4 linked regions of the Saccharomyces cerevisiae S288C genome follow. Changing the gene in region 1 together with any one later gene gives a genetic interaction. Each region holds a gene or a part of one and is shown in the gene's direction. Other genes may lie near its edges.

Region 1 (3,079 bases):
AGTGGTTCTAACAACTTGGTATTCCAAAGTCTTTGGGTTGGCCAATTTGACAGCTAAATCACCATTGTCGGATTGTCTTAGAAATTTAAAGTTTTCATCGTGCGAACATAAGGTCAATGGTAAAACCTCAACCCACGTGGCTTGAGAGGATGCAACTCTGAAAATATCAGAAACCTTGTTGATTGGTAATGGTTTGGCAATGAAGTTGGCATTGGATAATTTCTCACCCTTTGGCAAATTATTGAAACCATAACCGACAGCGGCATCTTCCATTATATCACAAGCGTGCAAAATATCAGGTCTAGTTACCGGAATGTCAACGTGCAAGATGTCCTTGTCTTCCTTTGATTGAACGGCATGCAACGACATCTTCTTTAGACAATGAGCAATTTCATCAGCGGATTGATCTAGGCCAAGACAGGAGTTGATGTACTTAATGGAGACATCCATAATTCTATCGTTGAAGTTTGGCGCCAAACGGGATTGGCCATTGTGTTCAGAGACAATTTCTACAGGCTCAACCGTGAATGGTTCGTCACAATAACGTGAGAACATTGTAGTTAATATGTTCAAAACGATCTCGGCTTTGGTCTTATCGGTGGCGGTTATATCAATCAAAATGTTACGGGTGTTCACAGAGATCTTCGAATGTTCACTATTGATTAATGGTGGCAGGGAGCAAACACGATCTTTGCTGTCCATAATAACTGGGAAGACTGGAGAATCCTCAATAATGTGAACGTATCTCCCTATGTTGTTTTTCTGTTCTGGAGATTTATAAAACTCGATCAATTTGTCACCAGTAAACTCTTGGGTTTGATTCAATGGTACGAACTTGATGTCCTTTGGTGGTAGAGCTCTGTAATGGAATGGACCTTCAATTGAATCTAAATCGTGAGTACCCATGGCAACCAAGCTTCTGTTTCTACATAGATTGGCATGTAATTTATCTTGCAAGGCAATAAAAGAAGCGTAAGATTTTTCGTTAAGCTTGATATTTCTCAATACAGCAGCGGTAGCAAAAGGTCTAATTTGCTCCGTTGATTTGTCGATGATCAACTTAGTGGTTGGCTTGCTTAATTTATAGTCAGGTCTTTCTTTACGTTCCAAGTATTCGTTCAGCGACTGTGAAATACCTTCGATACAAAGCAAATCGTAACGATTGGCACTGATATCAAGCTTCAATTCCGGCTCCTCCCCGGTTTTCAAGGCCTCCTCTGTGGTGTCTTCGTCCATTTCCATACCGAATTCAAAACATAATTCATCGAACTCTTGGGAAGTGTAGTTTTTGCCTAGAAGATCAAATAATTGCTGCTTGTTCACGGAGACGGTAGGCATGCTGGCTCGGTGTTATTGATGTGTGTTATGCTATTCTGCCCTATTTTTTGAACATTTGATCAACTCCAGGCTTTCGAGAAATACATTGAAAATTTTTCATTTCCTTCAATTTTCTTTCTTTTTTGGTACCGATTCTGAATAATCGGTCACCTCGTGTGTCGTGATAAATAATCAAGAAGATGTACTTTTATACAAGGGTTGTAGTCATCTGGGACACTCTCAGAGCACTGGCTCTGACGACAACCATCAAACGCATGCTCATACGTATAATTCAAGCCTTACATACACTGGTATTCCCTTTGGGGTGTTTCTTTTTCCTGTCAAGTTGGGCACTTAAAAGAACTAATAAAAAATCAGTGTGAACTTTTCGATTTGCAAAGAAAATGAAAAAAAAGAAAAGGAGCTTTCACAAATAAACAGAAGAGATCAAGATGAAGTGGTTGTTGTTTCCGGCAAGAATCGTAGCTCGCACTCGCCCAAACCTCTTCTCGCTGTACAGAAGATCCGTTTCACAGTACTTACGTCCTCGAACCATCCAAAACCTGCAATCAATGGCGCAAACACCCGAACTTAAAACCAAGCTGTTCAAACCCTTGGTCTGGATCGACTGCGAGATGACCGGTTTAGACCACGTGAATGACAGAATTATCGAGATTTGCTGCATCATCACCGATGGACACCTGGCACCCGTCAAAGCGGCCGATGGCCAAGGAGACTCGCATTATGAGAGCGTCATCCATTATGGTCCCGAGGTGATGAACAAAATGAACGAGTGGTGTATTGAGCACCACGGTAATAGCGGTCTCACCGCCAAAGTTTTGGCAAGTGAGAAGACTTTGGCCCAGGTAGAAGATGAGCTGCTCGAGTACATCCAGCGCTACATCCCAGACAAGAACGTTGGCGTCTTGGCAGGCAATAGTGTACATATGGACCGCTTGTTCATGGTCCGCGAGTTTCCCAAGGTCATTGATCATCTCTTTTACAGAATAGTTGACGTCAGTAGCATCATGGAAGTTGCCCGCAGACACAATCCCGCTTTACAAGCACGTAATCCAAAAAAAGAAGCTGCCCACACTGCTTATAGTGATATCAAAGAGAGCATAGCTCAATTGCAATGGTACATGGACAACTACTTGAAGCCACCACAGGAAACAGAGTCGGTCGAGTCAATCGGATCTGAACAGCCGGAGTCACCATCTTCATCTACCTCATCTTTGAAAAGACAACGCACCGATTTTTAATGTAGAAAAAAAAAAAGAAAAAAGAAGTGAAATTTTTCAAATATTTCACACACGAAACATGACTCCTGGTGAGAAATGACCCTTTCAGGTTGCTTTGACCATAAAGGTTTGACTCTATCTCTTGGGTTTCTCATGTTCGCTTTTTACTCTGTATAATTTTTAAATTCATAATCATCTTAGACCGAACCATGAGTCTTCTTCATCTTGTTTTATATATAATGCAGAACTTGCTTCCCTTAGTTTGCGTTCAGTAATCTTTCCTTCTTCTAGTGTAACCTTTACGAAAGATACTACCCCATAGCAAAGCATAACAGCTTAAACCGAATCCTCCTTAACATGCCTTACACTCTATCCGACGCTCATCATAAGTTGATCACCTCTCATTTGGTGGACACCGACCCTGAAGTGGACTCCATTATCAAGGATGAAATTGAAAGACAAAAGCACTCCATCGATTTGATTGCTTCTGAAAATTTCACCTCAACCTCCGTTTTCGATGC
Region 2 (3,237 bases), on another chromosome or scaffold:
GAAAAATGACCCTAAACTACTTCTAAACCCTCTCGATTTCTTTCACGTTCATACAACACCTAGTTTTATTTATTTTCTTTTCAATCTGAGTAGTTGAGTTTTCGATCACTCACATAGAACTATTTTTTGCCATTTAAATAAAGTATTCTCTCAAATGATGCGATACTATAATACTCTTTGCCATATATTACATTCATTCATAAATAGGCTATGTTTCTATATCCGTTTCCGATTCTGTCTGCAAGCAAGGTTCCCTATCATTACCGGATTGTTCACTATGGTTGGAGCTCTTCTTTTCCCCTGCACTTGCATCAGTCTCAGATTCAGAACCAGAAATGTCTCCGTAATCTTCATCCGATCTTCCTGCTGATATTTGAATACCATTGTCTTCTAAAGACACTAAATGTTTTTGAACATCACTGCTACTATCAGATTCAAAACTTATTGATTGTGTGTCATCTCCAAAAGAGGTAATATCATCGTACTTTTCACTGAGTTTATCTTTAGCAGTAATAATTGGCCTTTTAGAAAGTCCGAAAAATTGAAAGTCATCAAAATCGTCGTCTTCCATTTTGATCACGGATTGATTAGATATTTTTCTATTAGCTCTCCTCCGACTTGTGTCTTTCAACTTCTTTTGTAAATTTTGAGGCTCTACTACCGTCTTTCTTCGTTTCATTCTTTTTCCTGGAGAGTTTAACTCAGAAATTGGCTTTTGCACTTCCGTATTAATAAGCGCAGAATCTAAAACATCATCGTCAGACAATTTGATATTATTTTGTCGCAGAATCTCATGAAGCTCTCTTATTTTCTTCTTCTTCTCATTCAACAAGGTTACCATCATTGCTCTGGTTCTTTCATCACGTGTTTCTAAAAGCTTATCCAATAGCTCCCTTTCCCGAGCCAGCTGTTCAACTCGATTTCTATTGCTAGAATCGCTCTCCTTTATATTCCGGTAAGAATCGTTAACACAACAGATATCTTTATAGAGTTTATCTGCCATTTCAAATAAATCAATCTCTCCCTTTTTGACTGGATGCAAGGTAAGTTCAGCGATTTTTCTTATGATCGCCGATGACTCCAACTCCATAACTACTTTCCATACCTCATCATCTTGCATTCTGCACGTCCATTTTGTGAATACGACTTTTTCGTCTAACGATGCAATGTACACTTTGTGACCAGTTAACATTTTGAGTAGTTCATACCACACATATTTCTTAGACTCTTCATCGATATTTTCTCCCGTAAAGATTCGCAAATCATTGATTCCAAAACTGCTTTTGGAAAAAATTCCTGTACCTTCACTTACCAACATTTTCTCTATTCTAAGCCCTGAAAGACTGTTCTCATCTAATGTTTCCAACATAGCGCCATCTTCAATCTGAATCTTACAGAGGCCACGCTCATCTTCTTCATTTTGTTCTTCATTAACCACAGGGATACAGCTAATGAACTCCGTCAGCTGGGACATAGCACCCTACATAAATAAGTCATCCAATGCACAATTCTCTCAGTTCTATGCATTGACACGTCGAAAACTGCCGTTCATCTTATTATTCTTTAATATGGCTTTTCAAAATACGCTTCCGGGTACTTTTTCGGATTCATTAATGGTGTAATTAGTAATGCGTAGAAATATTTTGTATATAATAATAAATAACATGTTTGTCCAACAACTCGTAGGCTAGGCTAAACGTGAAGTCTTTCTGTTTTTGAGAACAACAGTATACATAAGTGATATCCAAGAATGACTGAGATACTACCACATGTAAACGACGAAGTGCTACCAGCAGAGTATGAACTTAATCAGCCGGAACCAGAACACTGTCCTGGTCCAGAATCAGACATGGCAGGTAAGTCCGATGCTTGTGGTGGCTGCGCCAATAAAGAAATATGTGAAAGTCTTCCGAAAGGCCCTGATCCAGATATTCCATTGATCACAGATAACTTGTCAGGAATAGAACATAAAATATTGGTTTTATCAGGCAAAGGTGGCGTAGGCAAGTCGACATTTGCCGCAATGCTAAGTTGGGCACTTTCAGCTGACGAAGATTTACAAGTAGGTGCCATGGATTTAGATATATGTGGACCTTCTTTGCCACATATGTTAGGCTGCATTAAAGAAACCGTCCATGAATCGAACTCCGGTTGGACACCTGTCTATGTGACTGATAATTTAGCCACCATGTCTATTCAATATATGCTTCCAGAAGACGATTCCGCCATTATATGGAGGGGTTCAAAAAAGAATTTATTGATAAAAAAATTTTTAAAGGATGTTGATTGGGATAAACTCGATTACTTGGTAATCGACACACCGCCCGGAACATCTGATGAGCACATTTCAATAAACAAGTATATGAGAGAATCTGGCATAGATGGTGCCCTTGTGGTCACCACACCTCAGGAAGTAGCTTTATTAGATGTACGGAAAGAGATAGATTTCTGTAAGAAGGCTGGTATCAATATTCTTGGACTAGTGGAAAATATGAGCGGATTTGTATGTCCAAATTGCAAAGGAGAGTCCCAAATATTCAAGGCTACCACAGGTGGAGGTGAAGCACTTTGTAAGGAATTGGGCATCAAATTTTTGGGGTCTGTTCCGTTAGATCCGAGGATTGGCAAGAGTTGTGACATGGGTGAAAGTTTCCTGGATAACTATCCTGACAGCCCAGCTTCGAGTGCTGTACTTAACGTTGTGGAGGCTCTGCGAGATGCTGTGGGGGATGTATAGTATATTTTATCAAAAAGAATAAAAGGAAGTGCATTAGAGGTCAAATCGTTTTATAATATAAATATCATTACCTTTAAATCTTAGACCTACTGAAGAACACTTTTACCATATATAATGCTACTAATTACTCCAAAAGCGTTAGCTTCAGTCCATGTTTTACTATTTTTCTTTTTTTTAGAAATAAAAATAAAAAAACTTATATCTTATATGTACACTTCATTAAATCCTGGGCAAACTCACCCCTCAAGTATGCCTTTTCTGGCTGCCCTAGGGGGAGCTCAAGCAATTTGGCCTTCGAATCGCCTATTGAAGGATTGTTTTTCTCCAATATTTTTGATACAATCTCTTGGGACATAACATTACAACATGCGGCCACTTCACGACAGTGCTTATACTGATCATAAAATATCTTCATACCACTAATTAATGAATCGATAGTCTCCTGCGTTTCAACATTATCCAACACAAGCTTTAGATATACTTCAAATACGTTTATACTT
Region 3 (3,344 bases), on another chromosome or scaffold:
TGAAAACGTCCCTAGTGGGCCTATAGCTCAAAATATTTTGTTGGACATATATTTGCACTCTTAAAATTAATCTAGCCTGCACTTTTTGGACAATCGGTTCGAATAGTTTATCATACTGAATGTCGGTAAACTGCTTCACGTATTCTTCTGAACCTTCTTCAAATTCATAATATGGAGCAAACAAAGTCACTGAGTCACACAAAGTACAAATATCTGTCTCTTTCAAAACCCTGACTCTAATGGAGTCATAAAGGGGTTCACATAACTGTAAGAACCACTGATTAATCTTGAAACGACATTCCTTTTCAGGGAAAAATTCTACGAAAAGTTTGTATTCGTCCGCGCATAACTGCTGAAAATAAACCTTACCGTCTTGAATGAATTTGACCAAGCCCTGGTCCTTATCTTTAACAACAATTTCATCAATGTGTGACCAAATGACCGGAGTTAGCAGTCTTAAACGTGTTTGGAAATAGTGGTTGAAACACTCGTAAAGAATGGAATTCAGTTCATCGTGATACTTGTTGTAGGCTTTTTCGTTGCTTCTCTTAACAATTTCCGAAACCTGAATTTTGAAAGTATCAGCTATGGTATAGAATTTACTGTACAAGAAGGCGTCTCTTGTAGTCGACGGCAACCCAGTTAACGAATTTTTGTTTTTGGTTTTATCCAAAATTTCTTGATTTGTTTGTTTCAACAGATTCGTTAAAAAGTGAGATATCAATTCACAGGCTCTGATCAAGCATTGCTTGAACTTGATTCTGTACGCTGCCGCATCCTTGAGGTCACTATTCTCATCCAAAAAACGTAAAGACTCGTCGATAGTCGCCAACATTGTCGTAAAGGAGCTCTTCTTAACAATAGCGGGAGAAGTGGCATGGTTCAAGCGACGCATTATAGGGTCTAAAACTTCAAAATAATGGAGAGCTTTAGGGATTGACTCAGTTAGATTGCTTAATTTAGACTGCTTTTCATAGATCGTCTTCGTTTCCTCAATGAAAGCTCCAGTATCCTGAGAGATTTTCCGAAATTTCTTGATGGAACTATCCAATTGATCGTTAACCTGGCGTGTTTGATCCAGAACAACTTTATACTCGTCTATCTTAATGTTTAACTGGTCCAAATAGGTAGTATAATACAAATACTTGTTTGTCTTTTTTACATCCGCAGAAGTCGTAGCTTCAGAACCATTAACCTCTGAACAACCTTCTGAGACATCAGTTCTTTGCAGACTGTCAGAATTTTCCACAGCCAAAGATAGCTTTTTTAGCTTATCAAAAAGGTACGAATCGTCCAGTAAACCCACTATGGTCTGAGATTCTGGTATAGTCGGATGAGACGCAATATCTCGAACCAATGAATTCTTTCTACTTCTCGCCATCTTTGGATGTGTCGATAATTCGTGCAATATTGGGTAAAACAATTCATGCTGGGAGTATTTATTGTGTGTCTATAAAGCCAAGACTTTACATAACAATGGACGCAACGACTGCCGTTATACAGGGTAACCTCAATTTGCGCCTCTATATTCTATATTAATACTACTTATGATCCATCCGCAGCTGATACTTAGAGTTACGAGGCAGAGCATCGAAAAATCTGAGCCCACCATTAAGTTGCAATATAAGTACGAATTTTCCTGCTCTTCTCTCGTCTTTGGATTACTGTATTCATTGATAAATCTCTATTATTTTTTTCAGTTTTTCACTTTCTTTTCGAGCGATGGGAACGGCAAATCACGAAAATTTTCTGTCAACGTAGAAAGTAATGATGTGTTAATACTATCGAAAAGCTGTGGAATTGAAGAGCCCAGCCCAAAAAGTCTGCATGAATAGCGTAAAAAGAGTAAAGCTAAATTCAAAAATGTCCAAACAAATATGCACGCATTCCGGATCTTTTCACGCGGACGAGTCGTTGGCGGTATACATGTTAAGGCTACTACCCGAATTTAAAGATGCTAAGTTGGTTAGATCAAGAAATCCCAAGGACTGGGAGGCTAGTGACATTCTAGTGGATGTAGGAGCTCAGTATGACGGCGTGAAATTTTTTGACCACCACCAGCGTGGATTTTTCGAAACTTTCAACGAGAAATACAAGACTAAGCTCTCAAGTGCTGGTCTGATCTTCAAACACTACGGTCGTGACATTATCAAAACAATTTTGAACAACAAGGTTAGCAGCTCTGATTTAGATCTGCTCTATGACAAGGTATACAAACAATTTGTCGAGGCACTGGATGCAAACGACAACGGTATTAGCAAGTACACGATTCCTAAGGATTCCAACTTGGAACCGAATTTCAGGGATAACGCCATCAGCATTCCCGGGATTATTTCAGGTATGAATCCTAACTGGAACGAAGACACTTCCGATGAGTCTTTTGACAGATGCTTTGCTCGCGCAAGTGAGTTTATCGGTGGGGTCTTTGTCACATTGGTAAGAGGCTACGGTCAATCGTGGTTGCCAGCCAAGGCCCTTGTGGCGCAAGCCATTGATGAAAGAATGGATGTTGATAAGAGTGGCAAAATCATTGTCTTGCCCCAATTCTGTCCATGGAAGGAGCATCTATACGAGCTGGAAAGAGAGAAGAACATTGAAAAGCAAATCGAGTTTGTTCTCTTCACAGACTCTTCTGGTGCCTGGAGGGTATCTACTGTACCAATCAACTCCACCTCCTTCCAGTTTAGGAGAGGTTTGCCGGAGCCATTAAGAGGCCTCAGAGACGAAGAGCTGAGCACCAAGAGCGGTGTGCCAGGATGTATCTTCATTCATGCAGCAGGTTTCATTGGAGGTGCCAAGTCCAAAGAGGCTGTATATGAGCTGGCTAAGATGTCTTTGGCCTAGTCGGGAGCGAGCGCTCAGTCAGGTCCCTTATCTATTTAATAATATTTAACAATTCCACTATTTATTCTGTATAGTAAGTAAATCTTTAATGCAAGCAAAAATCTTCCCGCCGCGAATCCTGAAACATATTCCCCTCGGTGAAACACGCTCTTGAAAATGACCTGAGAACACAAGATATCAGACGGCTCTTGTTGCACAAAAAACAAAAACAAAAGAAGCAAGCTACGTTGCAGCCACTGGTACTGTCTGCTAACTCAAACATTCTTTTTCATTTTTAATATACAGATTTCGTATTCTCCCGTTCCCGCTATACGCAATTTTCTTTCTTTTTTTTCCCTCTTTGGTTAGGAGACTGCAGATCAGTCCCATTTTTTCCAACAGAACAAACAAGCAAACGTTTCAGTTTAAAAGAACACACGGTCGTCGTGCCTTTTCTGGATAGACACAAAAAAAACAAATAACGAAGCAGGAGTCTAATGAAAGGTCTTCTCTGGTCTAAG
Region 4 (2,676 bases), on another chromosome or scaffold:
AAGGCATTGGAAACAAACTATCGGTCCATCTATGAGAAAAGTTCAGAATTACTGGATAAGAAGCTGGAAGAAATTGACAAGAAATGGATAGAGAAAAACGGGTGTATACCTGATGCATCTAAAGACGATGTGGAGAAAAATCTAAGAAAGCAATATTTAGCAGATGTACAGGACGTAAAAAACGAACATATACCTGTGATGAATTGTGAACCTGGTGGGTCTCAGTTCAAGTATCTCTGTAAAACTATTGAGTTATTATCATCCAACAAGACAATTTGTTTTGCCATCGATGTAGAGGCATTTGAATTTGATACAGACATTGTTACAGAGATTGGCATCGCCATATATGATCCAAGAGAAAACATTTATTCCTTGATGCCGATTATAAGAAGTTATCATTTAATTGTTGCTGAAGCGTTACCGTTAAGAAACAAGAAATTCGTATGCGACTTTAAAGACTGCTTTTTACTTGGAGAAAGTCTTGTATTACCATTGGAACAATGTGTAGAGTTCATTCAGTCGTTGATTAATTTCTATATGAAATGTGAGACGGACCAAGATACAACCTGGGAAAGAGCGTTTGTGGGTCATGCTATAGCGGGGGATATTAAGTGGCTGAAGAAAATTGGGGTCCATGTACCTGAATTGGATAATGAACTTACCAAACCGGAGGACTCAACGGAGAGCAAAGGTGTTAGAAAACATGTTAAGATGCTTGACACAGAGAAAATTTATAGCATGTGTTATGGCAAGAAGGGTAGCAGTTTAGGTAAACTACTAAGGCTTTTTCACTTGCCACATGCCTTCTTACATAACGCAGGCAATGATGCATATTACACGTTGCTCCTGATGCTGAAGTTAGGAGATTATAACTTTAGAAAGCAAATTGGGGCAGATGATTTAGAAACAATGGGATATAGGATAAGAGAATGGTTTAAGCGTGAGGCGGACGAACCCAAAATTTTGCCAATGTCGTACGTGCTAAGTGTGATGAATGCCAATAATAGCAAACCGAAAGTTGATGATAAGGGAAGAAAGAAGCCGAGGGATCTTGTACCTCAGACGGAATTTAGCGGGTCTCATTGGTTTCAAAATGCACGCGCAGCCTTCAAAAGTACTCTTGTGTGAATCTAGCTAGAAGTTTTGTAGGTATATGTGATTTAAGATATAGATAATAAAAGATATATATATGTAAATATTATGAAGGGGATATTAGCGTAATTTAAACTATTGAAATACCGGCTTCAATATTTCAGCTAACTTGCCATTTTTCTTCAAAGTTTCCAAATCGCTGTTACCACCAATGTGCTTGCCATTGATGTATACGTTAGGTACAGTTTTTTGGCCCGAGATTTCTTCTAAAGCGTCTTGAATCTCTGAGCCATTGCTCATTTCATCTAATTCCAACACAAGGGCCTTGGATTTGGGAACGTTCAATTCTTGGAAGAGGGTAGACAAAGTAGCTTTACAGTAAGGGCAGTATGTCTTTGCTGCAACAAACACTTCCTTTTGGCCAATCAGATCCTTTACGTGAGCAACTGTTTCCTGGGATACCATTTTTGGAGTAGATAAAAATCTTTTAGCAATAATTCTTGTGGCAAACAACGTGATAATGATAATAACAATTAAATTCGAGTCGAAGGAAAAATTGGTCTCCATGAAACAATATATAACAGTAGTTGGAGTGTCCGTTAATCAAGAGGGCACCTTTTCTTGGCGTCCTGGGACTTTTTATATGAAAATTCATGAAGAAAGTGCGGCGGGCCCCTTTGCGAAGGGGGCCGAAATATCGGATCTTAGTAATAGTTCTGCTATTGGATGTGGTATTAGCATAAATCAAGAGGGAGGCGATGGTTCTATTAGGGTAAAAGAGAGCAGCTTGAGGAAGAAACAGGAAAGGATGAGTACAAAATATCCGACAACGATGAGTTGCCGAGAGGCATTTGATCAACTGACGAGTTGCTATTCGATTGGAGGGCAATTTAGAAGCTATTACAGATATGGAGATTTTACATCATGTGACAAGCAGGTGTCCAAATTCAAGTTTTGTATTATCCACGGCAATGACCCTGTGAAAGTGCAGGAATGGTATAAAGATCAGGTTTCCAACAATAAGGCATTGGAAAATACCAGTGGGGTTATATGGCAGGAGAGGGAGACCACTGCAAATAAGTGAGATTTTTAGCTTTTTTTTTTTAGCATGTGTACTATATAGTATATGGATTTCTTATTTACAAGCGCAATAAAAAGACGAACACTAATCCTTGTTGTTCCGCTTCACGTCCTTACTTGATTCTATTTCATTGTCTTGGTGAAGTTTCTGTGTTTCCTTCATCAATTCATACAGTTGAACTGTTTGCTCAGGGGATAGTTTCTCCAGGGTTTCCGAAGATAAAGTGGCATCTTTCCATTTACCGTTGGAAATCATGTGGAGATAATCTTGCCAGGAAGCTAAAAAGCCGACTATATGCAACGGGTTATCGATATCTTTGTGCAACTTGAACTCGTTTCGCACGTATTGGTCACCCATCTCCCTTTGGGGACCAGGTAGCAGCTTATGCTGCCTTAGTATCCTTCTGTAGAGAACCAAAGGTGGAAGTAAAAGCTGGCTGTTATGGGTTGCAAATCTAACCGAACGATATATGAGCTTGTTGTTCATGGTGAATGAAGACGGGA

The links.
Region 2: mutations in REX2 (region 1) and NBP35 together harm fitness more than expected from each alone (negative genetic interaction), as found in Saccharomyces cerevisiae (2 studies listed by BioGRID).
Region 3: mutations in REX2 (region 1) and MYG1 together harm fitness more than expected from each alone (negative genetic interaction), as found in Saccharomyces cerevisiae (3 studies listed by BioGRID).
Region 4: mutations in REX2 (region 1) and EMI1 together harm fitness more than expected from each alone (negative genetic interaction), as found in Saccharomyces cerevisiae (2 studies listed by BioGRID).

Annotation. Positions count from the first base shown.
Region 1 is NC_001144.5:259,238-262,316, reverse strand, and holds REX2 (Rex2p), read left to right. Parts: upstream 1-1,769; coding exon 1,770-2,579; downstream 2,580-3,079. Other genes in the region: FRS1 (phenylalanine--tRNA ligase subunit beta), read right to left, coding at 1-1,338; glycine hydroxymethyltransferase SHM2, read left to right, coding at 2,916-3,079. UniProt on the Saccharomyces cerevisiae protein: 3'-to-5' exoribonuclease specific for small oligoribonucleotides.
Region 2 is NC_001139.9:341,556-344,792, reverse strand, and holds NBP35 (Fe-S cluster-binding ATPase), read left to right. Parts: upstream 1-1,750; coding exon 1,751-2,737; downstream 2,738-3,237. Other genes in the region: MF(ALPHA)2 (Mf(Alpha)2p), read left to right, coding at 1-2; LIF1 (Lif1p), read right to left, coding at 209-1,474; nucleocytoplasmic transporter NUP145, read right to left, coding at 2,934-3,237. UniProt on the Saccharomyces cerevisiae protein: Component of the cytosolic iron-sulfur (Fe/S) protein assembly (CIA) machinery. Required for maturation of extramitochondrial Fe-S proteins.
Region 3 is NC_001137.3:482,825-486,168, reverse strand, and holds MYG1 (Myg1p), read left to right. Parts: upstream 1-1,827; coding exon 1,828-2,844; downstream 2,845-3,344. Other genes in the region: Golgi transport complex subunit COG3, read right to left, coding at 1-1,381; GTPase-activating protein BEM2, read left to right, coding at 3,321-3,344.
Region 4 is NC_001136.10:1,470,000-1,472,675, reverse strand, and holds EMI1 (Emi1p), read left to right. Parts: upstream 1-1,612; coding exon 1,613-2,176; downstream 2,177-2,676. Other genes in the region: YDR514C (uncharacterized protein), read left to right, coding at 1-1,128; dithiol glutaredoxin GRX2, read right to left, coding at 1,228-1,659; SDH7 (Sdh7p), read right to left, coding at 2,258-2,659. UniProt on the Saccharomyces cerevisiae protein: Involved in sporulation. Required for the full activation of the early meiotic inducer IME1.